Macaca fascicularis: one gene and its partners. The protein of the gene in region 4 purifies or fractionates together with the protein of the main gene of each other region. This does not show direct contact. Links are inferred from orthologs where the notes say so. Each region holds a gene or a part of one and is shown on either strand. Other genes may lie near its edges.

Region 1 (4,659 bases), on a different chromosome or scaffold from region 4:
CCTTCAAGAAAAACACTCCAAAAGAAAAACAGCCTATTTTAAAATGCCCGACTCCTGCGTCGGAGAAGGCCATCCCTGCTATTTTGAATTTCAGAACATTAAAAACACAAAACTAGAGAAGCTCTACAGTTTAACTGCACACCATAATAAAACGGATTATTTCTCCCGTGTCTTCTAAACCGTACTTATCATTTAAAGATAAAAAACCCTCCTTTGTCCCCCTCAAACACCACCTAAACGACTTAGTAAAGGGAGCCGGAAGGCTTTCGCCCAATCGAGTCCGCTTAAAGTTTAGAAAACAAAGAGCATGAGAGCCCAGATCTGTGCAAGGTCCGGCCCCAGTCCGCGTCCCACTCGGCAGTAAACACGCGAACCACGATCTGCTCTCGTTCTGTCGCGCACTCATTTCTTAAGAGACGTTTAAGGATTTGTTTATAGAAACAGCCTTTCTGAATTGCCCCAGTGATGGGGCCAGACAACCTCCGCTGCCTCCTACTTCTCCCCCTCACTCTTGAAGGCTCAGTCGTGATTTTTTTCGAAGTTAATCGGCACCACCTGCATACCCTCGGCTACCATTACTCACCAACACGCCCTCACCGTTCCCGATCCCAGTTCTGCGACATTTAAACTTTTAATCGTGTTCAAATTACCCCACTATCTTGAATGTACCAGTAAGCCACACTTTCAATTTTTTGAGAATAAACCCCCCACCTCCTGTGGCTGTACACACTGGGGGGAGTTCCCACTCCCTGCATCCCCGCGCTTCCCTACCTACCCCTACCCGACACCACCAAAACAAAAGCTATCAGGTTGCAAAACATAGCGAGTATGGAACGATACTGCTTATTAACTGCGTACAAAGGAAGTGCGCGGCGGCAGAAGGGAGGGCGACACGACGCCGGCCACAACAAAACCAAGGCCAGGGCTCCGCGCTCGCAAAACACAACACCCTTCCCCCACCGCCGCAGACCCTGGCGCTCCTGAAACCCACAGCGTAGGACACCTCTCGCCAGGGACGGGCGTCTCGGTGTCCCCGTGAGGCGGCGACTACACCCCGCGCTGCGAGCACGTGTGTCGGAATGCACGTCGGCTCCGACCACACACCCACCAACGCACATTCGGATGCGGCCCTAGCACCCCTCCATGCCCCTGCCCGGGAGAAACTGAGAGGCCATCCCAGAGCCCTCTGAACTGGGGGCCCAGTGGCGCTCCCCGTAAAAGACAAGCTGAGGAAGACTCCCGGCCTCGCACTCCCCGGGGAGCTGCCCAGAGAGCGCTTCCCCTCACCCCACCGCCCAGCCCCGGGACGCCAGGGGCAGGTAACCCAACGAGGAGCGGGCCAAAGTAACGGGCAAGGCCAGGAACCCTAGGAGCCCGAGGGGAAATGCATGTTGGGCGACGGGAGGCAGCGCCAGGCGCTTGGAGACGTGTCCTGGGGCTTCGGGGCCTCTCCGCAGGGCACCTCCCCCCTCAAGGGCAACTCGCACCCCGCGGGCCGGGCGGATGCCTGCTCCCCACTGCCGGATCAGCCCCAGCAGCGGAGACGCGGTGCGGCCCAGGGTGCAGTCCCCGCTGCCTTCGCGCCGCATGGGATCAGCGCTATGTGCGGAGAGGCTCGTGCGCTCCGGAGGGGCGAGGTGCGGGTCGCGGGGCCTGGGAACCCTTGGTGCCCGCCCCGGCACCAACTTCCCTACCGAGTCCTCGAGCCTAGCCGGGGGACAGGACTGTCGGCACGACTAGAGAGAAAGCCCCTCAGGCCCTTCCAGCACGGGGGATGTGCGGAGCCAGGGCCCGCTGGGCTCCAGACGAACGAGCCCGGATCCCAGGTCCGCCGCAGCCTCCCTCCCGGCAGAGCCACCCCGCGCCCCGCCCCGCCGCTCCCGAGCCCGGGGGCCCGACAGCTGCGACGGTGGCAACTCGGGTTTCGCAAACAGGGCGCAGCCCCTCGAAGGAAAAGTTCCCGCAGTGGCCGCGGGCGGCGGGCACATACTCACTTTCTCCACTCGTCGGCCAGAGCGAGAGCGCGGCGGAGAGAAACAGGAGCCCCCACAGCGAGGTCGGGGACCCTTCTCCAGAGCCAGACTTCATTCCTTTTATTTGGGACGAAATTCCCCTTTCTCAAAAAAAAAAAAAAAAAGAAAAGAAAAGAAAAAGAAAAAAAAAGAAAGGAAAGGAAACAAGTCTCAAACTCAGTCTTCGCTCCCCCTCCAAAAACAAGGACGAAGGAAACAATACTCCGAAGGCGGTGCCGCCGGGGCCCTCCGGGTGCGCGGACGGGGCGGCCCCTCAGCGCCGGCAGCAGCGGCCCAGGGCTCGGCGGAGTCGGCAACTCGAGGCGCGCCGGGGCGGGCTGTCGGCGTCGTCGGCCTCCATTTTCAAACCCGGAGAGGCAGGAAAGGGGGAAAACTGCAAAGAAAGGGGGCAAAGCCCAAATCTGCCTCGGCGAGGAAAAACAAGCCCGGCCCTTGCCGCGCGGGAGGTGGCCGGACGCCCGAGCCTCCGCCGCGGGAGGGCGCGACGCAGTTCGCAAGATCGCCCCAAGTCCGGGTCGCAGGCGAGGCCGGCGAGGGGCAGAAACCCGGAGTCAAATGAATGAGCGGCTCCCCCTCCTCCTCCTCCTCCGGGCTCCGCTCGCCGCCGCCTCCTCCCTCAGCGCCGCCGCCGCCGCGAGCTCCTTCCCAAATCCAGGACACACACAAAGCGGCGGGCCGGCCGCGCCGCGCTCAGCACTCCCGCCGCGCCGCCCGGCTCTGCGCCGCCGCCCGCCCCGCGCTGCCCCCGCCCGGCCCCCGCCCGCCGCCGCCGGCTCTGCGCGGGGGCTCCGGCTCGCTGAAGGTCACAGCCGAGGCGAGGCGCGCCGTGGAGCTGCCCCCGCGCGGGAGGGGCGTGGAGGGCGCGGGGGGGGTCCGGGGAGCGGGGCCGAGGGTCTGCGAGCGCCGGCCGCGGGCAGGCTCGCTGGCGGCGTCCCTCTCGCTCTCCCGCCTCTCTTGAGTTCGCCTGGTGCGCTCGCTCCTCCTCGGGTTTTTTCCCTTTTTTTTTCCGCTCAGCGGAGTTAATGCTGGTAAACAAGAGCCCCAGCCTCGCCGCGCCGCCGCCGCCGCCGCCGCCACACACTGGGGGCTCGCGCGCGCGCGCTCGCCCGGGTCCGCGCACACGCGCCCGCTCGCACACTCGAGCGGCCACCGCCGCAGCAGCGGCGCGCCGAGGGCCCGGCCCAGGCCGGCACGAGCCAAAAACCGGAGCCCGGGATCCCCGAGACGTGCGGAGCGGAGCCCAGGCGTGGGGCGCGAGACTGCAAGCGCCGCCCCCATGTCCCGCCCCGCCGACTCCCGCGCGCGCACAGAGACACGCGCGCGTGCCCACCCGCTCCCGCCCCCACCAGTGCACCACTGCGCCGGCCACCCCGCACGCGCCCTACCCTCCCGCCCGACTCCAAAAACAATGCCCCCGCCGCCGACCCGGTCTCGGCGGGGCAGGGGTGGGTAGGCAGGGAAAGGTTAGGAAGGGGAGGGGTAGGCAGGCGAGGGGCGGGGTGGGCAGGCGAGGGGAGGGGTGGGCGGGGAGTGCGGTGCTGGGAGAGGTTCATTGAAAACAACAACAGCGCGGCTGGAAAGCGCGTTTCCCTGGTTCTTGAAAAGCTTCATTGTTCCTTGCAGCTGTTGCAAAATAAATAAGTGCGTGCATGCGGCATTTTTTTCGCTATGTACTGGAAAGCCCGAACGTGGCGGAAGGGGCGCACCTGGGAAAAAGAAGACCCCCCCAGGCTACTACGCTGGGCACTTTCACGCCAGGCTGGGGCACCCGCGGCGTTGAGACCGGGGAGCCCGGAGTTGCGGGGAGCGGAGGGGGAAGGGCGCGGCCCGCGTGGCTCGACCCGGAGTGGCGCGAGGAGACAGGACCCCGCAGCCCCCCGGTCGGGCCCCGCGCCCCGGAAGGGGGGCTCAGACAGGCGGCCCCGCGTGCCCAGGGCGCGTCCCCGCGGCGGCCGCCAGAGGGCGCGGCGGGCGCCGGGGAGGGCAGCACGCGGAGAGTCGCCTCCCTCCCTCCGGGGGAGGAAATGTGGGGGCCCGGGCTGGGGACCGACTCGGCTGGGTCGCGCTGGCGGGGCCTCCCGGACCAGCGGCCCGCCCCGAGCGCTCTCAGCGGCCTCGCGCGGCTCAGGGCTCCACCACGTGGGCGGCTGTGGGGAGCGGCCGGGGCGCGTGCACGCTGCGGGGCTCCGAAGCTGGGGGGCGTGTCCGGGGCCCCGAGAAGGGGGTGGAGGCTGGGGCCGGGAAGCCTCCCTTGGCTGCGGTCCCGACCCGGGAACAGGCGGCATGCACTCGGGATCAGCGGCTACTGCGAAAACCCAACCGCACCTGTCTTGAGTCCTCCCGGGCACGTTCCTCTTGCTTCGTTTGCTACGTAAGTGACTAGAAACCAGTACCGACCCTAACTCTCCGCGGTGGTTTTCTTGAATGTGCAGGAGGAGAGGTTCCCCAAAGCGAGACTTCCCTAGGACTGCCATCTAATGAATAAATGCTGCGGAGACCAGGTCCTCAAAGAGGGAAACAGCCCAGCAATGGCAGGAGAGAGGAATTTGAAATACGTGGACTTTTACAAACAGTAATTGGACCATGTGTCGCCCTTAATGTGGTCCGATTTCATGACTCAGGCTAA
Region 2 (4,024 bases), on a different chromosome or scaffold from region 4:
CAGCCCTGTCTCTGGCTTGCCGGGTGACCCCAGGCTGGCCACTCCCCTCTCTGGACCTCATTTCTTCTGTACACTGGGATCGTAACCTCCTCCTGAAGATTGCAAAGGGGAGGTCTGTGGGCTAGGAGGGCTCGGCTTCCCCCATGCCTATGCACTGCCTGGCCAGGCTCCTGGGAAGGCCGTTCCTGGCCGCTGGAGCCTCTGCCCTTGCCTCCAGGGCTCAGCCTTGTTCCCTGATGCCATTTGGGCGTCTCTTGGCCTCTGGTCCTACCTGGGCCTGCTGGATGGGAGGAAACTTTTCTGGCCAAAAGCTTTTCTAGGCTCAAGAGAAAGAGGGGAGGCACCAGGGCTGGCCCTGCTTGACCCAGGCAGCCTTCAGGCCACACCCAGCCAGTGGTCTCCTGCCCACGACAGCCAGCCTCTGCCAACCACCCCCTCCCGCCTGACCCTGGGCCTGTCTTTAGAAAGGAGGTGGGTGGGGGACACGGACAGTGCCCCCGTGAGCCGATCCAGAGAGGGAAAGCAGTTAGGCCAGGGCCACACAGCAACAGGGAGCCACTCACAGGCTCCCAGCAAACAGTTATTGAGTGCCTGCTGTGTGCCTGGCCCTTTTATATGTGGTGGCATGGAATCTCCCCAGCAGCCCTGGGAGCACCCGCATTGTGCAGAGGAGGAAACTGAGGCCCAGAGAGAGCCAGTAACCCCTCCAAGTTCCATAGCTAGGATGCCCACCTGAGATATGGGGGTCTTGCTGGGGCCAAGGGTGCGTGGCAGGACGTTCCAATCAAGTGTCTCTTGGGTCCCTTGGCCCTACCTCTGTGGCTGCCCCGGGGCTGGCTGTTGAGAGACAGGGTGGGCCGCGGGCCCCGCCTGGGCCTCCCTTCCCTCCAATGTCAGGCAGGCACAGAACGGTGTCCAGAGCAGCGCTGAGTGCTGCGGCCTGTGGGAGAGAGGGCGTGGCGGTCACGGCTCCCCTCTGTGCCCTGCAGGTGCCTACTGCCTCTCAGTGTCCGACTTCGACAACGCCAAGGGCCTCAACGTGAAGCACTACAAGATCCGCAAGCTGGACAGCGGCGGCTTCTACATCACCTCCCGCACCCAGTTCAACAGCCTGCAGCAGCTGGTGGCCTACTACTCCAGTGAGCCAGCCTCGGAGGGCGGGCGGGCAGAGCCTCAGCTGCAGACCCTGGGGAGGGGCTTTGGAGCCTAGAAGGGTGGGGTCTTCTGTTATCCTGTGATGCCAGGTTTCCTGCTCCCCTCCCCACTTTCTCCCTCCCCCTTCCCTTCCTCTCTCCTCCGTTTTCCCTACTTTCCTCCGTCTCCTTCTTCTTCCTCTTCTTTCCCCCGACCCGCTCCTCCCAGTCCCCGTCTCTCCCTGCTCCTGCTCTGCAGCTGGCTGGTATGGAGGGGGCTGCCCTGAGGAGCCCAAGAGTGAGCTGGAAGGGAGGGGACGGAGGCTGGTGTCATTTGTCTATGTAGCCCTAGGACCGGTCTGAACCGGTTGCTGGGAGAGGAGGAGGGGGCGGCCAGATCGATTGCAGCAGAGACGGAGAGAGCGGCAGAGGGAGCTCGCGGGGCTTGCGTGCTGGGTGAGGGCTCGGGCGTGGGCGCAGTGCTGTAGCCCACCCACCTGGGCGTCCGGAGCTGACTGCAGTGTCGGGGCCTGTGGGTGCCTGTGGGTACCTGTGTGCCCATGTGTCTGTGGCACGCGTGGCCTCTGTGTGCAGGTGTTGGTCCACTTCCCACCCCAAGTCTCCTCCTCCTCTCAGCTCGGCCTCCTGACTTCCTCTGGGATCACCCACCACGCTCTTGTCTCTTCGGCCACCGCTGTGTGGCTCATGCTGAACCCCGTTCCCTCAGATCAGAACTCTCCAGGGGCTGTCTTGGAATCTTGGGATAAAGACCCCCACCAGCCCCCAAGTGGTCTAATCCCAGCTGCCTCCCCACCTCCGCCTGGTGCCGCCCTTCCCCACCTGCTCCCTGCAGCTCCTTTTGCCTCCGCTTCTTCAGCCCTGCAGCTATTCTTTCCTCAGAGCCTTTGCTCTGGCTGTGCCCCTGCCTGGAGGGCTCTTCCCTGCTTAACCCCTCACCCTCCTGCACATCCAAGCTCAGTTGCTGCTTCCTCCAGGAAGCCTCCCAGGACCCTCCTGCTGTTGCGCGAACAGCTCTCCTCCAGTCACATTCATGTCTGTGGTCCTGGGAGGTGATTAGGGAATTGAGGCTCCTCCCTGGACTCCGAGTTCCTGAGGGTAGATTCCCTGGACGTGTTCCCCGCAGGGTCCCTGGCACCCCCTACTGTCTGCTGAATGACTGACTCAGCAGATGCATAAAGCACTGTGGGCCTGTGTGGGGGTGGGACTGTGTGCACATAGATGTAGATGCCTGGCTTTGAGGGCGCCCTGGGTGTCTCCTGAAATCTGCGTGCATCTGGCATGTAGGGTGACACACACTGAGGGGCAGGGAGGCCCCAGGGCAGAAGCCCCCCCTAACTGCTCCTCTTGCCTCCTCCTCAGAACACGCCGATGGCCTGTGCCACCGCCTCACCACTGTGTGCCCCACATCCAAGCCTCAGACTCAGGGCCTGGCCAAGGATGCCTGGGAGATCCCTCGGGAGTCACTGCGGCTGGAGGTCAAGCTGGGCCAGGGCTGCTTTGGCGAGGTGTGGATGGGTAAGGCCTGGCCCCTGCCCTCGGGAGAGGCATCCATCCCCCACCCCGTGTGGCAGCTCTGGGCTCTGTTGGTCCCTTTGCCTTTAGCTGCCTCTGCTGGACGACGGGGCCCTGTTGTAAATCTGGAGCCCCCCAGCGGTGGCTGGCACCGAGTTGGGATGTGGCCCCCCAAGTGCTGTGCCCCAGACCGTGTAAACCATAGCACCTGATTCCAAGATCCGCACAGGGCTGGGCATTGCACAGACCTGCTGTGTAGGCTGGGCCCGGTGGCCTCACTCGGAGTCTCAGTCTTCCTGACTATGAATGGGGCTGGTGACAGTGGGACCTATGGGAGGCTGTGGAGGCCATGGCCCAGTGCTTGTCCACACACCAGCTGTTAGCCATGGAGAGAGAAGCCTGGCTCGTGGGAGGAGGTGCTGGGAAGCTTAGTTCTGGCATGGTCTGAGCCTGTTAGTGATTTCCTGTCTAACCCTGGAGAAACAGCAAAGCATGAGCACCGTGCAGCCCTGACAAAACCCAGGCCCCTTGTCCACCGGTTGCTTTCTGCTCACACAGAGGGACCAGAGGCCAGGGTGGAGGTGGGACAGCACTTGTAAGCCCGTAAGCCCATGGTGCTAGCGGGGATCACGGTGTGCTGTTTTCAAGGTGGTTTCATCTGAGCCGCATCTCCGCTCAGTCCCACTGCCTCCACTCTCCACCCTCCAGAGTGCTGATGGAGGACAGCAGAGAGGCCTCCTGGGTGGAAGGCACTGCAGGGACAGAGGCCTGGAGGCTGGAGGTCAGGCCGTCTGGAAGGGGGAGGCGTGGGCTTTGAGCTGGTGAGAGGGGAGAGGGGTGAGAAGCCAGGGTGTGAGCACAGCCACAAAGTGAGGACTTGAGCGAAACCTGGGTGAATGCACAGCGTCAGCCATTCTGGTGGCTGCAAAACTCATTTCTGGCTTTGGTGAGTGGTGATGACCCTGGGAAGGGCCTCACTTCCTCCCTGGGTGCTCCAGGTCGACTCATGAAGTGCCACATGCAGATGGCTTGAGCCAGGAGGACCACAGAGGTGGGCCTGAGCCCTAACCCTCGGAGAGAGGCCCAGTGACTGGGAGGAATGGGCCCAAGGTCACACAGCAAAGGAACCTTGAGTCCTGCTGGCACAAGAACCTGGATTAAACATGCTGGTCTAGAATACAGCTTCCCCCAGAGCCCCCAGTTAGAAAAGCAGATAGTAGTGAAACGATAACCGCATTACTTACTGAGCCCTCACGGTGGGGCTGGCCCAGTGGTTAAAATCTCATTCAGTCCTCAAACAGCTCCACCAATAGACACTGTGGAATCCCCATTTTCCAGATGAGATAACTGAGGCTTAG
Region 3 (4,024 bases), on a different chromosome or scaffold from region 4:
ACACACAAACACAGAAAATGCACGCTGTGCAGGAGCACGCGCCACACACGCACACACACACACTTCTGTTTCAACACGCACACACTCACACACATGGAGGCTATGAACTTAGAAATTTTCCCTAGAGCCTGTTTCTGTGTACTGATGTCAGCCTGGAAGTGTAGAGTTAGAAAGTGTTCACATTTCACTATTGGCCTGCTGGATTCAAGTATTTGCATGTTTGATATGTCTTTTTTTAACTTTTAAAAAATATTTTTTGGGATAAAAAAATGACATGAAAAAGTAATGAAACAAGGGTAATGTGCATAGGCGGATCCAGGGGAACAGAGAGCAGATCGCAGCCCACGCCTTCCGCTCAGCTCCTACCGTGGAGCCGCTCTGCGCCCGGCGGTCCACACCAGACTCTGCCCTGATTACCGGCCGCCTCTGGTAATGTGCATAATCGTCACAGGCTCATTTTAAATAGGCTTCACGTCTCCCTCCCTCCCCCACAGATAAAATAACCCTTTCCAGCCCACAATCTGAAAAGTGCCCTTCATGATAGAACTATTCTAAGCAGCTTTTATACTTTAAAAAAAAAAAATCAAAATGACAACACACTATACAAACATAAGACACACAAAATAAAAAGCTACGAGGAACATCCTGTCATTAGCATGTGACGCTGACCCACCGCAGCCCGCACTGTTTTGCGAACAGTTCGCAAGGACTGTGGCCAAGGTTCGTCTTCAGTCCTGGACAGAGGTACTCAAAAGGGTGGCCGCTGCTGGGTTCCAGCGGGTCTGTGGGGCCGCCCATCTGGGAGGGGTCCCGGGAGGGGTCGGCTCTCCTGGTGCTGATGATGGCAGCTCCTACAGGGACTCCCCGCTGAGCAGGTCCCCAGGCAGCAGGGTGGTCAGAGGGGTGGGGCTGCCGATCACCCTGCTATCGTCAGCGCTGGGCGGGCCCCACAGGCTGCTGGAGTACTGGGGCACCCCGCCCCACAGCAGCTCACTGCTCCCCTTGCCACCCAGGCATGGGGCATTCCAGTGGCCAGCGTCGCTGCGCACCAGGCCATGGGAGCTGCCCGCTGCGCTGAGCCGCGGCTGGCTGGACGCGCTACTGGACTGCCAGCTGGAGGTGGGTGGCAGCGCCTGGCCTTGGGCTAAGAAGCGATTCACTTCTTCTTCGCCAGCGAACTCAGCCAGGATGGTAGTGTTTCCCAGGACGCACCTGCAACAGCAAGATGGGGCACGTGAGCAGGGCCACCCCAAGTCCTGCTAAGTTCGTGGCACCGGCTTTCTGTCTTCGTATTGGGAAAGGCTACCTGGAAGCCATCGTGTGGCTTCTGTTTTGCCACTGCTATTTCCAAACCCAGACTGTGAAGGTTTTGCTCAGTTCAGACTTCTAGCAGCAACACCGTACTGGTACAGAGAGTACATCTTCAAGTGCATGAACACACCATTAAATGTGGGCTCATTTAGGGTCACTGTCATTTGCATCCTGGGCTAAAAACAGGAATGACTAATTTCTAGGTTCCATGTCTCAAGTGATGTTACTGATCAGGTCTACTTATACTTCTATCAAAAGCAACCTTTCGTCAGGGTGAAGGGTTGGCTGTGAGGACCGCTGCTGGGCCCTGTGTAGGAATGTGTCACAGGCAGAGGGGAGTAGACACAGCAACTCAGCAGCAGAAAAAAACAATAAGTCTCAAGATACCTGTGAAGAACTGACCTGTGTCGCCTTCCCCCAATTCTTTTGCTGAAGTCCTAACCCCCAGTACCTCCCCATGTAACTGTGTTTGGAGATGGAGTCTTTAAAGAGGTAATTAAGTTAGTTAGATGAGGTCACATGGGTGGGCCCTAGTCCAACATGACTGGTGTCCTTATATCAGGGCACCAACATGCACAAAGAGACGACCATGTAAGAACAGAGGGAGAGGGCAGCTGTCTATAGCCAAGGAGAGAGGCCTCAGGAGAAACCAGCCCTGCCCACACCTTCATCTTGGGTGTCAAGACCTCCGGCCTCCAGAAGCGGGAGGGTGGCCAGCCTGTGGGATGCTGCTATGGCGGCTCAGGACCCCCCTGCAACACCCCTAACCTAATGCTCTGGGGGATGTGGAGCTACTTGGAGCGCTGAGGTGGCTGTGAGGAAACATACATGTGCAGAGACTTCTGGGCCTTGGCAGCCTCCTCCTTGGAGCTATACCGGACCACGGCATTGCCTTGAGTCAGATTCAGGTGGAATGTGATGAGAGGCCCATGTTGCAAACACAATGTCCGCAGTGTAGAACCATCAATCTGACAGAGGAAGCACAGGGGCATGAATGAGCTTTCTTCTGATTTCTTTCACTACAGCCTTCCAAAGAAAAAACATGAAACTGGATACACTAAACACTAGGAAAATGTTTTTCTTTAAAAGGCTTTAATAATATGTGATTTTACAATGTTCACATTCTGTATCTCTGTGGCCAAACGTGTAACTAAAATCTTGGATGTTTCAGTTATATTTTATGAGTTAGGCTAATCAGAGGAAGGAGAAAAACCCCACTTTGAGTTCAGCTCTCCTTTCACCAGAGCACATCACACAGAGCCCCTGGTTTGCAAAAGGCACCTGGGTCTAGCTGCTGACAACAGACTTGGGAGATGTGTAGGTGGGTGTGGCCTGGGTCCCAAGAAGGGACTGGCTAGCCCCACAGTCTGACGTGGCCAAACCACTCTTTTAAAAAATGTTATAAAAATACACACATGGGGTCTTGCTATGTTGCCCAGCCTGGTCTCCAAATCTTGGGCTCAGGTGATCCCTGGCCTCGACCTCCCAAAGTGCTGGGATTACAGGCGTGAGCTACTGCAACCGGCCAGGCCCAACCACTCTTGAATGGGTAGTTGTAAGATAAACAATTCTATTTACAGAGCACACTTTTCCAGCCTCTAGTGGGTAAACAAACAATTCACCAAGAACATGGTTAAAAGAGACCCCTGGACCCCATCTGCTGCTGCTGCTGGAGCCAAGCCTGGCACTTGCTCATCTCCTCCCGTGCAGCATCACCTCTGGACCCTGACCAAGAACCCCCGACTATCCCGCCCCACCAGACAGCCTCATCTGCATCGGGGGCCAAGAGGGAACCCTCCTTGGATCATGCTCAGCGACACAGGGGCACCGTACTGCACCTGGGGAGTGAGGTTTCGAAGAACGAGCCAGCTGCTGGTTCTTCCTGAGGCGTCGGTGCTCCAGGCAGAACCTGCAACAAGAGGGGAGAACCCGGTTGACAAGGCCCCGGTGCCAGTGGATAGTGCGGCCTCCCCACCTCTTACCGTGCTGAAGTGTGGGACAGCACGGGCCATCACGGACCATCACCACATGATCTAGGACAGCCTTTCTCAGCCTGGGAGGTCCATACTTTCTTTCGTAAACCAAAACCTCACAGTTCCTGCAGACCCCCTTCCCACTTCCCCGTGGTGACTCTGACTTCTTGGATCTTCCCGCCAGCCCCGGAGACCCGTGTTTTCCCATCTGTGCCAGGAGAGACGGGGGTGAGAGGCCTGACAATCTCCAGGAAAGCTCTGGTCTCCACCTCTGCCTGCCCCCAGACCTGGTGTGGAATCAGTGCTCCCAGGTTCTTCTGGTTAATACAACAGAGCAAATCCCTAAAGACTGCTGCTAAAAGGCAGAAACTATTACTTTCAAACTATCTGATATGGTCTGGCTGTGTCCCCATTCAAATCTCATCTTGAATCGTAACTCCCATGATTCCCATGTTTTGTGGGAGGAACGTGGTAGGAGGTAATTGAATCATGGGGGCACGTCTTTCCTGTGCTGTTCTCGTGATAGTCTCACAAGATCTGACGGTTTAAACAACTGGAGTTTCTCTGTACAAGCTCTCTTGTCTGCCACCATGTGAGATGTGCCTTTCACCTTCTGCCATGACTATGAGGCCTCCCCAGCCACGTGGAGTTGTAAGTCCAATAAACCTCTTTCTTTTGTAAATTGCCTCATCTTGGGTATGTCTTTACCAGCAGCATGAAAATGGACTAATAAAGTAAAC
Region 4 (4,586 bases):
AGGTGCTCACTAAGTTTCAGAACATTTACTCTGCCAGACGTTGTTCAGGGCGCTTAATTTGCTTCTTTACTGTCCACACCATGTAATGTAGATACTAATGTTATTTCCAATCTCATTTCACAGATGAGAAACAAAAGTTGATAGATGTCACAAATAGAAATGTGACATCTTTATTTTGCATAGATGTTGGTGGCTGCTATCATCCTGATATGTCCCCCTGTTTAAAACTACTTGAAGAGACACGGTGCCCAATACTGTCTCTTATAGTCAGATGTGAGAGAATGAGAGTCATTACTTGTTTAAATTCCTGAGGTAGAGTGGAAGGCAGAAGGACAGCTAGGTATCCGTATTCCACCGCTTCCCTGTCTGGGCACGTCCTTCAGGGTGCAACTGGACCCCCAGACGCCTGGGCTTTTGTGTGCAGTGACTGGGCCCAGAGAGAGCTTTCCAGTGGATGTCCCCAGAAGTCAGAACTTTAAGGTCCTCCTTTGGGCGTTTCCGTTTCTGCGAGAGCTTCCCGTGTTCTGACCTAGGCAGGAATGGATTGGCAGTCTAGCAACACACAGGGCAATTTTCACCTTATTATTTTATTGTATGTATGTATGTATTTATTTGAGTCGGAGTCTCGCTCTACTGCCCAGGCTGGAGTGCAGTGGCGGGATCTCGATTCACTGCAACTTCCGCCTCCCAGGTTCAAGGGATTCTCCTGCCTCAGCCTCCCGAGTAGCTGGGATTACAGGCACCCGCCACCACACCTGGCTAATTTTATTTATTTATTTATTTATTTATTTATTTATTTATTTATTGGAAAGAGGTTGCATTATGTTGGCCAGGCTAGTCTCGAACTCCTGACCTCAAGTGATCCACCCCCTCGGCCTCCCAAAGTGGAAGGATTACAGGCACGAGCCACTGCGCCCGGCAAAAAGAGACCAATTTTTAGTACATCCAGAGTAACCCTCTCCTGCCTTAGTCCAGCCTGGACTAAGTCCTTCCGGAGTTGGTGTGCATCAGAACAAAAACCTCTTGAGGGAGGACGGTCCCGCGGAAGCACAGTTTTAAAGTTTATTTTTAAAATTTTAATGCCATACTTTTTTAAATTGCCCATCGTTACCCACGATAGTGAACTGAAAATTAAGCTCTCCTGTGGTTGCCCCGTCAACCCTCCCCGCACCAAGTGGAACAGGCGGAGCTCGAGCTACGCCACATAGGGGCGGGGAAGCCGCCAGGGAGTCCTCATGGGAATGTGCCGTACACTTCACCTCTTTCGCTTCTCGCTCTACATCATCCCTGAGAAGCCTTTTTAAACACTTGAATGTGCTTGTTTCAGAATGTATTTATAAAGCGCTGTCAGATTATGTTGTACGGAAGTGGGGACTGTGATGCCGTGCAATTTCCCTTTGCCTTTTGCATTACATGGCGCCGCCATCTTGAGCAGAAGTGTATCATGGGGCTCGCCATTTTACTTGGTCGAGTGGGTATTTCCGGTTCCGGCAGAGGGCTTCTCTCTTTCACTGCAAGGCGGCGGCGGTAGCGGCTGTGTTGCTCGTTTCTCTGAGCCATCCAGTGCCATCCTCGTCGCTGCAGCGACACACGCGCTCGCCGCCGCCATGACTGAGCAGATGACCCTTCGTGGCACCCTCAAGGGCCACAACGGCTGGGTAACCCAGATCGCTACTACCCCGCAGTTCCCGGACATGATCCTGTCCGCCTCTCGAGGTACGGACTAAGGTAGATTTCAGGACCCGAGATTGCAGGGCTGGGGGATTCCGCGTGGTTCGGGCAGGCCGGTGGCGCGCGCGCTGTCGGGGACTGACAAACTTTTCTGCCTCACTGTGATTTGGGGCGTGCGGACGCGAGCCTAGGCCTCAGCCCGGGCGAGCCACATTGCAGATGAGGACCTAGACGTAGAGCGGCTCGTGGCTGTTAGGGTTGGAGAGCTGGAAACTTTTAAAACATCTTCTGCCTTCCCCTTCGTAGTGTGGTCGGGGGCCTACGGCCCGGGCGGGGCGGTGATGACCCCAACATGCCATCTGAGTGTCGGTGCTGAAATCCAGAGGCTGTTTCTGAGCTGCCGCCCGGCCCAAGGCTCGTGGGGAGGCGGGTGGACTCCAGAGGACCTCGTGGCTCAAGTCTCGTCCTACTTTTTCTGCCCCTGGGTCTCCCCTCCCCGTCCCTATCCCTGTGTGCCTGACTGCGTTTGGACACTTGTTGTGCTTCCCCTTTGCTCCTACACTGTTAAGAATTGTGTGACTCTTGAATCGTGTCTGGCTGTTAATCGTAAAATTGTTGAGTGGGACAGGTTTCAGTAAAAGCATCCGATCCTGTAGCGCCTAAAGTGGCTTTTCCAGCATTCATTATAACATTTCTGTCGGCCCTCAGAGGGAGGCATGGGAGGCCCCAGCTACTCTACAGCCACGAACTGCTGTGCATTCGGTTGCAGAGAAGATACGTGGTGGCTGTTGAGTTCGTCTGAGTTTCAGGAAAGGGTGTCTGTAATTTCTGGCACCTAAATTAAGTTCTCAGGATACAGACCGGGCACGGTGGCTCACGGCTATAATCCCAGCACTTTGGGAGGCAGAGGCGGGCGGATCACCTTAGGTCAGGAGTTCGAAACTAGCCTGGCCAATGGTGAAACCCCATCTCTAGTTTTTAAAAAAAAAAAAAAAAAGTTAGCCAGGCGTGCTGGGGGCGGCCTGTAATTCCAGCTACTAGGGAGGCTGAGGCAGGAGAATTGCTTGAACACGGGAGGTGGAGGTTGCAGTGAGCCGAGATCATGCCATTGCACTCCAGCCTGGGTGACAGAGTGAGACTCCATCTCAAAAAAAAAAAAAAAAGAGTTATCACGGTACAGTTTAGCTCTGCGTGCGTTTTTAGTCTGGAATAGAGCCACTCAGTCCTGGCCTGTAACTGCTCTTGTAGTCTGTTGTTCCATCCCTCCTTAAGCATCCTTAGTTGTTAACCCACTCATGACCTTGACACTTAGTGAATTATCCAGTGTGTTAACAAACTGGCTGCGGGTTCCTCACTGGTTTTTCTTCTGTTTGGCCGCTTTTAGATAAGACCATCATCATGTGGAAACTGACCAGGGATGAGACCAACTATGGAATTCCACAGCGTGCTCTGCGGGGTCACTCCCACTTTGTTAGTGATGTGGTTATCTCCTCAGATGGCCAGTTTGCCCTCTCAGGCTCCTGGGATGGAACCCTGCGCCTCTGGGATCTCACAACGCAAGTAGCTGCTCACTTAGCTCTGGGGCCTTGGGAAAAAATCTGGGCAGAAATGTGGTGGATGCAATTGGCTGGTTTCCCAGGGGAGATCCAGTCCATTTGGGAACTGGAAAGCAGACTGCACCTACAGAAGATGTTTGGCCTCCCTCGCTTTGAATTAGTTACTCAGGATTGCTGAGGAGTGTGGTTGAACATTTCTACCAGGTGCGACAGTTTTGAGTAGGCAGCAGTTTGAACATGTTTTACCTTGAAAGCTGAGGTGATTGGCAGGTGGAATTAGAGGGTCCTGGTGATGACAGATGACATTGTCAGCCAATCCCCATGTGGGAGTGAGGACATGTCCTGCAATTCTGAAGGGATTCTCTGTCATATATGTGTGAGTAATGCAATGAGACAGAGACAAGGCCCAGGAATCAGTCTGACCCTTGAATGAGAATGTTTGTTAAGTCTGAGAATGACAAAGTCCTCCCTCTTAGGGGCACCACCACGAGGCGATTTGTGGGCCATACCAAGGATGTGCTGAGTGTGGCCTTCTCCTCTGACAACCGGCAGATTGTCTCTGGATCTCGAGATAAAACCATCAAGCTATGGAATACCCTGGGTGTGTGCAAATACACTGTCCAGGTAAAGTGAGGCCATGGTCAGAGAGCACATCTCCAAGGATCTCTCCCACTCTCTTAACCTTTACTTTTTTTTTTTTTTTTTTTTTTTTTTTTTTGAGACAGTCTCACTCTGTCGCCCAGGCTGAAGTGCAGTGGCGCTGTGTCAGCTTACTGCAACCTCTGCCTCCCAGGCTCAGGTGATTCTGGTGCCTCAGTCTCCACAGTAGCTGGTGCTACAGGTGCGCACCACCAGGGTGGTCTCGAACTGAGCTTAGGCAGTCTGCCCGCCTCAGCCTCCCAAAGTGCTGGGATTACAGGCGTGAGCCACCATGGCCTGCATATCTTTACCCTTTTTTTTTTTTTTTTTTTAAAGACAGTTTTGCTCATTGCCCAGGCTGGGGTGCAATGACGTGACCGCAGCTGACCACAACCTCCGCCTCCCGAGTTCAAGCAATTCTACCTCAGCTTCCCAAGTAGCTGGGATTACAGGCATGCGCCACCACGCCTGGTTTTGTATTTTTAGTAGAGATGGGGTTTCTCCATGTTGGTCAGGCTGGTCTCGAACTCCCAACGTCAGGTGATCTGCCCGCCTCAGCCTTCCAAAGTGCTGGGATTACGGGCGTGAGCCACCGTGCCCGGCTCTCTGCCTTTTTAAAGTCTTGGCTGGGCTCATGCTCTGGTAGGCCAAGGTGGGAGGATTGCTTGAGGACAGGAGAGCAGCCTGGCCAACACAGTGAGACCCCATCCATAAAAATTT
Region 5 (4,024 bases), on a different chromosome or scaffold from region 4:
GGGTGAGAAAGTGAGACCAAGTCATAAGCGTTGTATTGTAATTCTTAGAGAGATTCCTGAAACAACACCAATAGAGGTAAATTATTAATAATTGTTAACGCTAAATGTTCTCTGTTTAAATTGAAAGAGGTTCTTCTGCTTTCCGTGGCAAAGAAAAGAAATTGAAAGAGGTACACAAGCAAAGCGTAAGCCAGTGCCTTCATCAGTTACTGTGAAAAGGTTAAATATTAATTTGTTTCATTAATTCTGAAGTACTAGTATGGTATAGGGGAAGGAAAAGATATAATTCTGTTTTCTTAGAAGGGTAGACAAAGTGTTGCAGTGAAACATTCTGAATTTACTAGATTGATTCAGTGGCAACTAATATATAAATAGGCTATTTTGGGAACTTGAGAATTCATCTGTAAGAATGAATAACCAGATTTTGATTAAGGATTCAGGAGGCAAGGCTGGGTGCAGTGGCTCACACCTGTAATCGCAGCACTTTGGGAGGCTGAGGCGGGTGGATCACAAGGTTGGGAGATCGAGACCATCCTGGCTAACATGGTGAAACCCCGTCTCTACTAAAAATCAAAAAATTAGCTGGGCGTGGTGGTGGGCCCCTATAGTTCCAGCTACTTGGGAGGCCGAGGCTGGAGAATGGTGTGAACCTGGGAGCTTGTAGTGAGCTGAGATCGCGCCACTGCACTCCAGCCTGGGCTACAGAACGAGACTCTGTCTCAAAAAAAAAAAAGGGATTAAGGCGGCAGGACTAACCCTATTGTTCAGCAAAATATTATATAAAGCAAAGTTGCAGTCATAAAGATGGTATGGTACACATACCAGAATAAAATAATATTTGAATGAAACATTGTAATCAATTTGACAGTTAGATTCTACCAGTTATTACTTTGCAGTTATTTAAAGCCAAAGGTTTTATTATCTGTTTTACTGATGAAGTAACTGATAGTTAGGCTGGTTGCATAGTTTGCTCAAGGACATAAGGGCTCTTAAATGACAGGAGTTTGGGTTTGAACATAATCTCTCTGATTCTAAAGTCCATGTTTCATAATCACTGTGTCACAGAGCTTCATATTAAGTTGCCATGATAAGGTGATATATATTAAAGAAGATGAGGATTAGTTAGTAACTGACATTGTAATTGATTAGCTATTTAGAATAGAATTTTATTTTATTTTATTTTATTTTTTGAGACAGGGTTTCAGTCTGTCACCCAGGGTGAAGTGCAGTGGCACAGTCACAGCTTACTGTAGCCTTGACCTCATGGGCTCAAGCGATCCTCTCACCTCAGCCTCCTGAGTGGTTGGGACTACTGGCGCATGCCGCCATTCCTGGCTAATTTTTGTACTTTTTTGTAGAGATGGGGTTTTGCCATGTTACCCAGGCTGTTCTCAAGGCCCTGGGCTCAAGCAGTCTGTGCACCTTGGCCTCCCAAAGTGTTGGCATTACAGCCGTGAGCCATTGTGTCCTATTTCATTATCTTTTTTACGGTTATTATAATTCATATTCTGAATACATAAGGAGTTCATACACATGAAAAACAGTAAAACAAGGCACCAAATGTTTTGTTGGGTTTTCAAGTTTTTTGTTTTTTGCTTTTAAATTTTTTTTTCATGTTAAAAAAAGTTTTTCCTCAATCAATGGTTTTCTGTGACAGGGTCTTGCCGTGTCACTAAGGGTGTAGTACAAGTGGTACGATCATAGTTCATTGCAGCCTCAAACTCCTTGGCTCAAGCAGTCCTCCTACCTCAGCCTCCCAAGTAGCTGTGACTACAGGAGCCAGCCACCATGCCCAGCCAATTTTTACTTTTTTTTTTGGTAAAGACAGTGTCTGGCTATGTTGTCTAGGCTCGTCCTGAACTCAAGCAATTCTCCTGCCTCAGTCTCCCAAAGTGCTGAGATTACAGAAGTGAGCCACTGAGCTCTCGGGCTGCATTTGACCTTTGCTATTTCAGTAGATATTTTCTTTCCTTCTGTTACCTTTTTTTTTTTTTTTTTTTTTGAGACAGAGTCTTGCTCTGTCGCCCAGGCTGGAGTGCAGTGGCGTGATCTTGGCTCACTGCAAGCTCTGCCTCCCGGGTTCACACCATTCTCCTGCCTCAGCCTCCCGAGTAGCTGGGACTACAGGCGCCCGCCACCACGCCTGGCTAATTTTTTGTATTTTTAGTAGAGACGGGGGTTTCACCGTGTTAGCCAGGATGGTCTCGATCTCCTGACCTTGTGATCCGCCCGCCTCGGCCTCCTAAATTGCTGGGATGACAGGCCTGAGCCATCGCGCCTGGCCTGTTACTTCTTAAGTATACTTAATGTTCACTTAACTTTTTTTTTTAATCTTCTTTCAATCCATTAACAGATTTACCATTTTAAGTTTTGTAGTCACCCTTTTTCTGAATCCATGTAGCTGTCAGAGTTTCTGTTTACATTTATACTAATTATGGAAAAAGGAAGATATGTTTGCACATTAACTCACATGTATGTTGTAAGCAAAGCATCTGGATTAAATGAGAATGCATGAAAATTTTTATTGCCTAGAAAATGTTAATGAAGGATATCACTTGTCCTGTGGCAGGCCAGACAGGAAAAGGACAGGGGAGATTTCACTATAAGGAGCGTTTAGCTTGCCAGTGGAAGTGAAATACTTATGCTTTGCTGATCGTAAAATAAATCATCCCAAAATCATGTACAAAATACATCTCCTGGCCAAATGGAGTGGCTCGTGCCTATAATCTCACCACTTTGGGGTGCTCAGGTGGAAGGATCGCTTGCATCCAGGAGTTTGAGACCAGACTCAAATATATCTCCTATTAACTCTATTTGTTTTGGAACACAGCCTATCCTCAGTAGAAAAATGGGCAAAAGTTAACAAGTGAAGTGATAGAAAGGACCAAAAACATGAAGATATGCTTAACATTACTAGTAAATAAACAAGCAAAAAATGCCATTTATTGATGTATTTTTTAGAGTTAACTAATTTTCTTTTTCTTTTTAGGAAGTGAAAGCTTTGTTCAAAAGTGAAAACTGCCCCAAAGTGATAAGCTGTGAATTTGCACACAATAGCAACTGGTATATCACTTTCCAGTCAGACACAGATGCACAACAGGTAAGAAGAAAACAGTTTTCTGATACAGGTCCATCCTAGTGGCAAAATAAGTAGTGGTATATTTTAATTGAGAAAATGTGTGTTTACACTGATGTTTATCAAGATTAGTGAGTACCTTGATTTACCTTTTTGCTTTTGCTCAATTGATGTCCTTTTTGATCATCTTCCTAAAGTTTTTCAGTTTTGATTTAGGAAGTTTTCTGGTCGACAAGAATGTTAACGTAACAGTTTTAAAATTAACATAGGGATTGAGAACTATGTACCCAGTGGTATTTTTAGTACATAATAGGTCTGCAATAAATAAAATTCTTGGAATTTTGACTTGATGATTTTATTCTTAATTGTTAACATGTCTTAAAGAGAAATAATCCTTTAAAACACAAATATATCTATGATAAGAGTGTTTAAAAATCACTCACAGATTTTTGTTTTTTAAAACAGTTTAGTAGAAAGTTGTCTGATCATTTTTAAATTGGTTTCTGGGGATATTTTGGGTCTGTTTTCAATCTTAAGGCATTTTTTCTGCAGTAATCCATGGTGGCTTTTCTACAATAAATATGAACTGTGGTTGAGAAGGCCTTATATTTTTACTTTTTCATTCCCTGTCCACCTGCACAGTGGAATCACCTACATAATTTTGTTTTTATAGTTTAATACTAAACTCTCAACATAATAAAGATGACTTTACTGAAATGTTTGGATGCTAATGAAAGTTTTCTTGTGCTTTGTTAACAGGCTTTTAAATACTTAAGAGAAGAAGTTAAAACATTTCAGGGCAAGCCAATTATGGTAAGAAATAGAGGAGATCAGTGTGAAACCAGAACAGGTTTTGGTTTCTCTGTATGAGAATTTTAAAAATACAGACAGATAATGTTTTATAAAAACCCATAGTGACTTTTAAAAAGTATCTGACTTGGGCTGGGC
Region 6 (4,024 bases), on a different chromosome or scaffold from region 4:
TTTGAAGTGTTTGTTAAATAAATATTTAGTTTTTGTTAAACAGAATAGAACACCTATAAATCCAACTAAGAGCAAAGGAAATGTGGGCTAACATGCCCTTTCTTTGTCCTGTTGGATCTTGGCATAAAATTTAGGTGTAAGCAATAAATTGACAATGTACAAAGTAATTTCTTATATCACACTTAACATGTTGAAACCAGGGACCTCTTTCCAAAAACAAAGAGCAGATTTGATTAAAGGCACCTTGGCCTCCTTAACGCTAGTGGATACACAAAATGATTTATGAAGGCTTATTATATTCAAGACTTTTCATTCAGAAATAATGTACTAACATCAGCAAAGTTAACTAGTCAATAGGACATGAAAATAAACATTGTAGGTATATACACAATTACCATTAAAATGATATTCTACCCAAACTAATATTGAAAGATATTACTGTGCTAAAACCATCCTACTGTGAAATGAAATTGGTAGACCAAAACAGGCCTGATCATCTACTCAAACAAGTTGGGGGAACCCCAAAGCTCAAGCTTTGCCTGGTGGCTCTATGAAGAAATCAGGGCACAGTGTGAACCATTATAAGCCCATTACACAGTAAATAAGTCAATTAATCTGCGATTTTTTTCATTATTATTATTCTCTTCCTATCCATGGAATATATTCAGGGGCCAATACATATCTTTAAATGTTGCTTTTTAATACATTGTATCAGGGGAAAAAAGTCTAAATATTACCTTCTGTAGAAGCTGCATCAATCATTACTCTTTGCATGAGTACTGGTTCCAATCCAAAGTCGAAAACTATGGTTTGGCGAAAAGTTCCAAATATTTCTGTGTTAAATGCTATCCCGACTTTATACACATAATGATCTAATCCATTTTGGGCCATCTTTCCTCCTATCCATTCTTGACAGTTTTCTGGGACTTCTTGTGATACCTGGGTAGTACTATCTCCGGCAGATATTGCAATGATACTAAAATGAGGACGATGAGCATCATAAAGCAATGCTACACGATACAGCATTCTTGCAGGCTACAAGGAAGTTAAAATAATTCATTGAGTACAAAGGGGTGAAAAATCCAATTGTAATTGGGCTCTTCAATGAAAATATCTCCATAAGGGACTTTTACTTCCCCAAGCTTCTACGATACTATGTTAAAACACAAATTGTGCTTATAAGCCATTTAAGATAAAAATCAGAAGGGTTTTTGAAAAATCAGTTGTTAAAATTATATATTTATGCTATATCGTTAGCCTCCCTTCTCTTTCTATGACATGTTCATTTTTCATTGTGGCAAAAGCTATCACCCTATATACCCATCAACCTTCAACTTTCCATACTCTTTGCCTACAAAAGTTTCATGTAGCCTCAAGTAGGAAGCCTTCATAAGAGGGCAGTTACCTCTGAAAGCAATGGATTGGGTTCAAGGCTGAAGCTAACTGTTCTTAGATTTTTCATCCCCAGATACAGAAAGTACAGCGGAAGAAATGCCACGAAAAAGACAAAAACTTTTCCACTGAGCATACTCATAGAAACTGTTTATTTTGCTTCAGTCTTAAACTTTGACTACTATAATTTAAGATGGGAAGCACTGCAGAAAGTGCCCCATATTGAAAACCTATTATCACAGAATGTGTGACTTCATCATACCAAATATAAAAACAAGTTGTTATGGTTTAAAAATCTTAGAACTGCTATATTAAACAATTTTTAAGTAGTTAATTATAAGCCATGAACCCCACCCTATGTCCCAAGTTTAGAAGACAATATGTCAAAGATCTCTTTACCAAATAAATAAATATGATAGCATCCTAAATATCTACAAAGATTTCATCTAAAAGTATTTTTTAAATTGTACTTTTAATAATCAAAATACAGAAATACACTTTAGAACCTATATATAATATGTTTAGATTAAAATATTTTCAATATTCTTTTAACACAGAGATTCAAAGGTCACAAGAGTTGACAAAATTAAACACAACTTACATGCTTTAACTAGCACAAAATTCATACCTTACAGGTGAGAGCAAAGGTCCATGTCTGGTGGGATTTTTTAGTGCTGACAGTAACTGACAGGTCAGGATTGTGCTCTACCTTTACTCCTTCTATACATTCACTAAGCTGAAAACAGAAAGCAATTTACGTTATGTTTTTACTGCTAAGGGCACAAACAAAATCTTTTGCATGGAAAATAAATGTTAACAGTTAAGATGATGATGGAACTGTTTACAGAGTAAAGTATTTTATACCTTCATTTTCAGTAATTTTGATAAGAACAAAATATAGTAAAGCTAAAATGAGAGGGAAGAAAATTAATCACCACCACAAAATGGCACTCAAAAACTGCCTGAATGAAGGTAATTAATATGGTACAGGCAAATCTTCAAGCAAACGGCTTAGTTCTGCTCTTCATTTTAACAAATGGGTCTACTACAGCTACTAAAAACATCATTCTATCAGAATCAAGTTCTTTGCAAAGAAGATAAGGAAATAAACCAAAATAGAGCACATAACAAAGTCAAGACTCAAGTTCACTGTTTAAGACAAACAAAAAACAATGTAGCTTATTTTCCTCACCACTTTCTCAGGAGACAATGAATTCATCCACTTTTCTATCAACGTTTCCATGTAACTGCCTGAGAGCTGTTTATTCTCATTTTGCTGTTTCAATTTTATCAGCCGTGAAGCATATCTTTTCTGCCATTCTGCTAGTTCTTCCTGGGAATGTGCTGAAGTACACTGGGCACCATACCTACATATTCCTTGCTCTAAAAATCTAAGTAGAATAGGAAAGACTGTTTTATCATATACTTTGTTGAACCATTTAAAAATAAACTCCCAGCATTTGCCCTCTGATTCTTCAATAAGAAAAACAAAACTTCATGTGCTGAAAGGCCACATTTATCATACTGTCTTATATAAAGGAGGGAGAAGAGGTTTAGAGAACATTTACAACAGTTAATCAAAACATCAACTCCCCATATTATTCACTGACTTTCTCTGGAATTAGGGGATCCTAAGGCATAGGTATTCACGTTGGCCCTCCAAAAGAGGCACTGAAAAATAGCTTCTTTGGTCATATAAGGACTCTATTAGACAATTCCTCTTAGAATAACTGGGTTTTGTTTTTGTTTTCGTTTTTTTGGAGGGCTTTTTTGAGACAGAGTCTCGCTCTGTCACCCAGGCTAGAGTGCAATGGCGTAATCTCAACTCACTGCAACCTCTGCCTCTCAGGTTCAAGCAATTCTCTGCCTCAGCCTCCCAAGGAGCTGGGATTACAGGCACCTGCCACCACGCCTGGCTAGTTTTTGTATTTTTAGTAGAGACGGGGTTTCATCATCTTGGTCAGGCTGGTCTTGAACTCCTGATTTATTGATCCACCCACCTCAGCCTCCCAAAGCACTGGGATAATAGGTGTGAGCCACCATGCCCAGCCAGAGTAGGATTTTTTAAAGCAACACTGACATCAAGTGGATTTGCTGCTCACACACAGGTATGCCCTACTTCCCAAAATGATAAGGACCTTAAAAAATTTTTCTTTTTTTTTTTTTTTTGAGACAGAGTCTCGCTCTGTCGCCCAGGCTGGGGTGCAGTGGCCGGATCTCAGCTCACTGCAAGCTCTGCCTCCCGGGTTTAGGCCATTCTCCTGCCTCAGCCTCCCCAGTAGCTGGGATTACAGGCGCCCGCCACCTCGCCCGGCTAGTTTTTTGTATTTTTTAGTAGAGACGGGGTTTCACCGTGTTAGCCAGGATGGTCTTGATCTCCTGACCTTGTGATCCGCCCGTCTCGGCCTCCCAAAGTGCTGGGATTACAGGCTTGAGCCACCGCGCCCGGCCAAAAAATTTTTCTTTTTTTTTTTTTTTTTTTTTTTTGAGACGGAGTCTCGCTCTGTAGCCCAGGCTGGAGTGCAGTGGCGCGATCTCGGCTCACTGCAAGCTCCGCCTCCCGGGTTCACGCCATTCTCCTGCCTCAGCCTCCCGAGTAGCTGGGACTACAGGCGCCCACAACCGCGCCCGG
Region 7 (4,024 bases), on a different chromosome or scaffold from region 4:
AAGGTCCTTCTGGGTACTATACTCCACGTCCCAGAAAGCTGAACCTGCTGAGGACGGCTCTGGACCAGGCCCAGCTGAGCTGCAGGCACTGTTTCCTGTGATCCTTCTGGGGATTCTTTCCCGGGCCCAAGGTGATTTCCTCACGTGTGTCAATGTGTGAGTGGCTGGTCTCCAGATCTCGGAGGTTCTCGATGCCAGTCTCTTTGGGCTCTGACCTCCTGTTCTTGCTATCTTGGATGGTTCCGTTTCCTCACCTTTCTGTACTGTAGCAGCAACTTGGGGCAGTTGTAGGGCTCACCTTGTTTCCTGTCTCCAGGGTTGTGGAAATCACCATTAGGCAGTAAGTTCAGTCCAGTCCCTGGTATTGCATCTTGGCTGAAAGCAGAACCTTTGGTTTTAATAGGAAAAGTTCATCCATAGGCATATGGACCCACCTCTGGCAGAGCCGGAGAGTTGACTGAAGAAGAGCATTATGTGTGGTCTGAAATTACCACGCTCCTGCCCTCCAACCCAACACACGTCCACGAGGACGCTGGGTCCTGTTGAGTTAAACACCTCCCAGTGCGTCTGCTCTGCTGGGCGCACCCCACTCTCCCCAGGACGTGCACTCTGCCAACACATTATCCAGCGCGTTGCTCCCTCCTCTCCCTGTGCAGATGAAAAATGGCTTGGAGAAGTTTGGTCAGTGCTTTGTAAGTGGCAGCACCAGGGTTCTAAGCCTGTGTGTTCATCACCACCAAAGATGATAGTTTATCTTTTCCTCTGCCCTTTTTGCCACAGAAAGTGACTTCCTCCTCCTGTTGTGTGTTTGGTTTCAGGCCAACATAGCCGAGGTAGAGGTCTCCATCCCTGCCAAGCTGCACAACTCCCTCATCGGCACCAAGGGCCGTCTGATCCGCTCCATCATGGAGGAGTGCGGCGGGGTCCACATTCACTTTCCCGTGGAAGGTTCAGGAAGCGACACCGTTGTTATCAGGGGCCCTTCCTCGGATGTGGAGAAGGCCAAGAAGCAGCTCCTGCATCTGGCGGAGGAGAAGGTGAGCATGGGGAGGGAGCGTGACTCTTGGCAGGAAGCCTGGTCCTCACTACAGTGTTTTGTCTTCTCTTCTCACTGTGGAAAGCCTTAAATGCCCTTCCTTTGTGGCAGGTCAGAAAACAGCTCTGTAATATACTTGTTATGCCTCTTGGTTTTGCTGTCACTGGAGGGCCTTTCCAGGTCCGGATGCTCATGTATACAATATGTAAACGGTGCTCTTTGGCTTATTGGCTTTGGGGTGCGTTTGTCTTTTAAGTATGATTTACAGTAAAATTGACCATTCTTCAGGTATAGCTGAGTTTTACTTAACATGCAGACATGTGACCACAATAATCAAAATTCATTTTCATCACCTCTAAAGATTGCCCATTGAATTGCTGTTGTCCCTGTGTCAAAACCCATCTGTGGATATGTTTCCGGGCTCTTCTGGTGACACCAGACTTATGGGAAGTCTAGAAATCAACAGTGTAAGCCCTCTCAACTGGCTGCTCTACATCCCTTGGTGAATTAGCCTGTCAGTTTGTAGGAAAAAAGCATTTTCATGCTTTGATTGGGGTTGTGTTAAATCAAAAGATGAGGCTGGTGAGGACTGACAGCTCGGCAGTCTTGACTCAGTCATTTCTCCATTTTTTTTTTAGGTCTGTGATTCTTTATTGGTGCTTTATAATTTTTAGCATACAGAACCTGCACATTTTTATGTTCGACTTAGCAGATCTAACTGCTGTCATTCTTTTAGCGCTATTGTAAATGGCACTTTTTTTCCATTTCCAGTTGTTAGCACGTGGAAGTACTTGTGATTTTTGTATGTGGACTTTCATGAGACTGCTAAATGAAGCTCATGCATGTTAGTGCCAGTCACTTTTTTGTGAATTCTTATTTTATATGTAACAATCACGTGGTCTGTGGAGTTGTGTTTCTCTCTAATCTGGAGCCTCATATTTCTTGTCTTTTTTTGTTGTTGTTGTTGTTGTTGTTAAGATTGTATAGGTTGATTTTTTTTGTCTTTATGTTTAACCAGCCTTGCATTTCTGGGTAATCCCTACTTGGTTTGGTGGTTTGTTTTTTACCATATTGCTGGATTGGATTTGCCTAATTCATTGCCTGATTTTTGACTAATGCGCTATTCGTGGGTGTCTTTGAAAAGTAGCAGAGTCTCTAGGTGGTATTTGGTGAAACCTGCCCTTAAAAGATAGCAAAGTTGTTATTTAGTATTTTTATGCTAGCACATTTTTCTTTGGTATTTTTGCTTGCGGGCCAGGTCTTGGGTCCAGAGAAAGGCAAGAGCTATCCTTGTGGATCTGAGTCACGTAGAGCAAGCAGCACACTTCTCTGTGTTCCCCTGCATGAGTCTGCCAAAGGCACTGGTGTCCACAAGTACAGTGTCCAGGGCCTTTCGAGGACCCTCATTTCTTGTTGCCACACAAGGGTGTTGTGCTACATGAGGCCTCTGAGGGCTGGTCTCTACCTATAGCCTTGGTTGGCTTGTGTCCCTCTGAGCTTGAGCTTGGGGAGTAGCTGGTTTTGTGGGGGCTGATCTGTAGCACTCGTGGGAGGACAGGAAGCCTGGCCCAGATTTGTGCGCGCTTGGTCTGGAAGCAGGTAGAAAAGTGGGAGCATGGGGCAAGCCTCTTGGGCAGCTTGCTTCCTGCTCTGCTGGGCACACCCCATGCTCCCCAGGACGTGCACTCTACCAACACATCGTGCAGCGCGCTGCTCCCTTCTCCCCCTGTGCAGATCAAAAATGGCTTGGAGAAGTTCGGTCAGTGCTTGTCAGTGGCAGGACCAGGGTTCTAAGCCTGTGTGTTCATTACCACCAGCATCTGATTGTTGTGGAAGAGAAGTATGTGTGCGGTCTGTCTGGGTATTCATCTGTTTATTCAGTGAGGTGTGCTGGCCCCATTTTGGGGGTATTGGTGCAACATCAGGACACTGGTGACAATGTAAGGGGAGCCTGACCTTGCTGTCCTTCAGGCCCTCTTGTCTTCCTCACTGTGGTCCAGGCATGTGGTGTCAGGCTAACAGAGCGGGATTGGTTTCTGCAGCAAACCAAGAGTTTCACTGTTGACATCCGTGCCAAGCCAGAATACCACAAATTCCTCATCGGCAAGGGGGGCGGCAAAATTCGCAAGGTGCGTGACAGCACAGGAGCACGCGTCATCTTCCCCGCGGCTGAGGACAAGGACCAGGACCTAATCACCATCATTGGAAAGGAGGACGCCGTTCGAGAGGCACAGAAGGAGCTGGAGGCCTTGATCCAAAACCTGGTAGGGAGCGGGCCGTGGCAGCCGACTCTGCCGGGGCCGTGGTGGGGAGCGGGCCTCGGTGGCCGACTCTGCCGGGGCCGTGGTGGGGAGCGGGCCTCGGCGGCCGACTCTGCCGGGGCCGTGGTGGGGAGCGGGCCTTGGCGGCCAACTCTGCCGGGGCCGTGGTGGGGAGCGGGCCTCGGCGGCCGACTCTGCTGGGGCCGTGGTGGGGTGGCTTATCTTCCATCTCTTCTTAACACTGCAGGATAATGTGGTGGAAGACTCCATGCTGGTGGACCCCAAGCACCACCGCCACTTTGTCATCCGGAGAGGCCAGGTCTTGCGGGAGATTGCTGAAGAGTATGGCGGGGTGATGGTCAGCTTCCCACGCTCTGGCACACAGAGCGACAAAGTCACCCTCAAGGGCGCCAAGGACTGTGTGGAGGCAGCCAAGAAACGCATTCAGGAGATCATTGAGGACCTGGTAGGCACTTGGGTGCTCGGGGACGGGTTCTCAGCCCCCAGTGGCCACTCACCAAAGCCATGTATGGGTGTTCCCTCCACCCTGCAGGCAGGTGACTCCCTCGTACGGCCCCGGAAGGCTTCAGAAGGGGCTTTCAGGTGCTTGCTCTTCTTTCCTCAGCCTGTCTGGCCTCCTTCCTGATAGTTGGTGAGAATTCTGCCTGTGAGAAGCACTTTAAAAAAAAAAAAGAGAGAGAGAGAAGAAGAAGAAGGGGGGGGGGGA

The links.
Region 1: the proteins of RACK1 (region 4) and IGF1R purify together in Homo sapiens (affinity purification with western blotting; 4 studies listed by BioGRID, with this or other methods). This does not show direct contact. The link is inferred for Macaca fascicularis from reciprocal best matches to the Homo sapiens genes RACK1 and IGF1R.
Region 2: the proteins of RACK1 (region 4) and SRC purify together in Homo sapiens (affinity purification with western blotting; 4 studies listed by BioGRID, with this or other methods). This does not show direct contact. The link is inferred for Macaca fascicularis from reciprocal best matches to the Homo sapiens genes RACK1 and SRC.
Region 3: the proteins of RACK1 (region 4) and TNRC6C purify together in Homo sapiens (affinity purification with mass spectrometry; 3 studies listed by BioGRID and IntAct, counting the BioPlex papers as one, with this or other methods). This does not show direct contact. The link is inferred for Macaca fascicularis from reciprocal best matches to the Homo sapiens genes RACK1 and TNRC6C.
Region 5: the proteins of RACK1 (region 4) and LARP4 purify together in Homo sapiens (affinity purification with mass spectrometry; 3 studies listed by BioGRID and IntAct, counting the BioPlex papers as one, with this or other methods). This does not show direct contact. The link is inferred for Macaca fascicularis from reciprocal best matches to the Homo sapiens genes RACK1 and LARP4.
Region 6: the proteins of RACK1 (region 4) and HELZ purify together in Homo sapiens (affinity purification with mass spectrometry; 3 studies listed by BioGRID and IntAct, counting the BioPlex papers as one, with this or other methods). This does not show direct contact. The link is inferred for Macaca fascicularis from reciprocal best matches to the Homo sapiens genes RACK1 and HELZ.
Region 7: the proteins of RACK1 (region 4) and HDLBP purify together in Homo sapiens (affinity purification with mass spectrometry; 3 studies listed by BioGRID and IntAct, with this or other methods). This does not show direct contact. The link is inferred for Macaca fascicularis from reciprocal best matches to the Homo sapiens genes RACK1 and HDLBP.

What each region holds. Positions count from the first base shown.
Region 1 is NC_088381.1:83,518,169-83,522,827, reverse strand, and holds the start of IGF1R (insulin-like growth factor 1 receptor), read right to left. Parts: upstream 3,109-4,659; 5' UTR 2,089-3,108; coding exon 1,995-2,088; intron 822-1,994; exon of another isoform or gene 584-821; intron 1-583. Other genes in the region: uncharacterized protein, read left to right, coding at 3,683-4,377, 4,466-4,511. UniProt on the Homo sapiens protein: Receptor tyrosine kinase which mediates actions of insulin-like growth factor 1 (IGF1). Binds IGF1 with high affinity and IGF2 and insulin (INS) with a lower affinity. The activated IGF1R is involved in cell growth and survival control.
Region 2 is NC_088384.1:93,506,482-93,510,505, forward strand, and holds part of SRC (proto-oncogene tyrosine-protein kinase Src), read left to right. Parts: intron 1-989; coding exon 990-1,139; intron 1,140-2,513; coding exon 2,514-2,669; intron 2,670-4,024. UniProt on the Homo sapiens protein: Non-receptor protein tyrosine kinase which is activated following engagement of many different classes of cellular receptors including immune response receptors, integrins and other adhesion receptors, receptor protein tyrosine kinases, G protein-coupled receptors as well as cytokine receptors.
Region 3 is NC_088390.1:84,529,522-84,533,545, reverse strand, and holds part of TNRC6C (trinucleotide repeat-containing gene 6C protein), read right to left. Parts: intron 3,221-4,024; coding exon 3,150-3,220; intron 2,280-3,149; coding exon 2,140-2,279; intron 1,213-2,139; coding exon 852-1,212; 3' UTR 1-851. UniProt on the Homo sapiens protein: Plays a role in RNA-mediated gene silencing by micro-RNAs (miRNAs). Required for miRNA-dependent translational repression of complementary mRNAs by argonaute family proteins.
Region 4 is NC_088380.1:188,337,080-188,341,665, reverse strand, and holds the start of RACK1 (small ribosomal subunit protein RACK1), read left to right. Parts: upstream 1-1,503; 5' UTR 1,504-1,607; coding exon 1,608-1,716; exon of another isoform or gene 1,717-1,728; intron 1,729-2,003; exon of another isoform or gene 2,004-2,071; intron 2,072-3,055; coding exon 3,056-3,227; intron 3,228-3,509; exon of another isoform or gene 3,510-3,588; intron 3,589-3,703; coding exon 3,704-3,851; intron 3,852-4,586. UniProt on the Homo sapiens protein: Scaffolding protein involved in the recruitment, assembly and/or regulation of a variety of signaling molecules. Interacts with a wide variety of proteins and plays a role in many cellular processes.
Region 5 is NC_088385.1:57,286,280-57,290,303, forward strand, and holds part of LARP4 (la-related protein 4), read left to right. Parts: coding exon 1-76; intron 77-2,989; coding exon 2,990-3,100; intron 3,101-3,835; coding exon 3,836-3,889; intron 3,890-4,024. UniProt on the Homo sapiens protein: RNA binding protein that binds to the poly-A tract of mRNA molecules. Associates with the 40S ribosomal subunit and with polysomes. Plays a role in the regulation of mRNA translation.
Region 6 is NC_088390.1:73,622,601-73,626,624, forward strand, and holds part of HELZ (probable helicase with zinc finger domain), read right to left. Parts: intron 2,784-4,024; coding exon 2,585-2,783; intron 2,129-2,584; coding exon 2,021-2,128; intron 1,036-2,020; coding exon 738-1,035; intron 1-737. UniProt on the Homo sapiens protein: May act as a helicase that plays a role in RNA metabolism in multiple tissues and organs within the developing embryo.
Region 7 is NC_088386.1:137,179,319-137,183,342, reverse strand, and holds part of HDLBP (vigilin), read left to right. Parts: intron 1-818; coding exon 819-1,037; intron 1,038-3,078; coding exon 3,079-3,300; intron 3,301-3,544; coding exon 3,545-3,763; intron 3,764-4,024. UniProt on the Homo sapiens protein: Appears to play a role in cell sterol metabolism. It may function to protect cells from over-accumulation of cholesterol.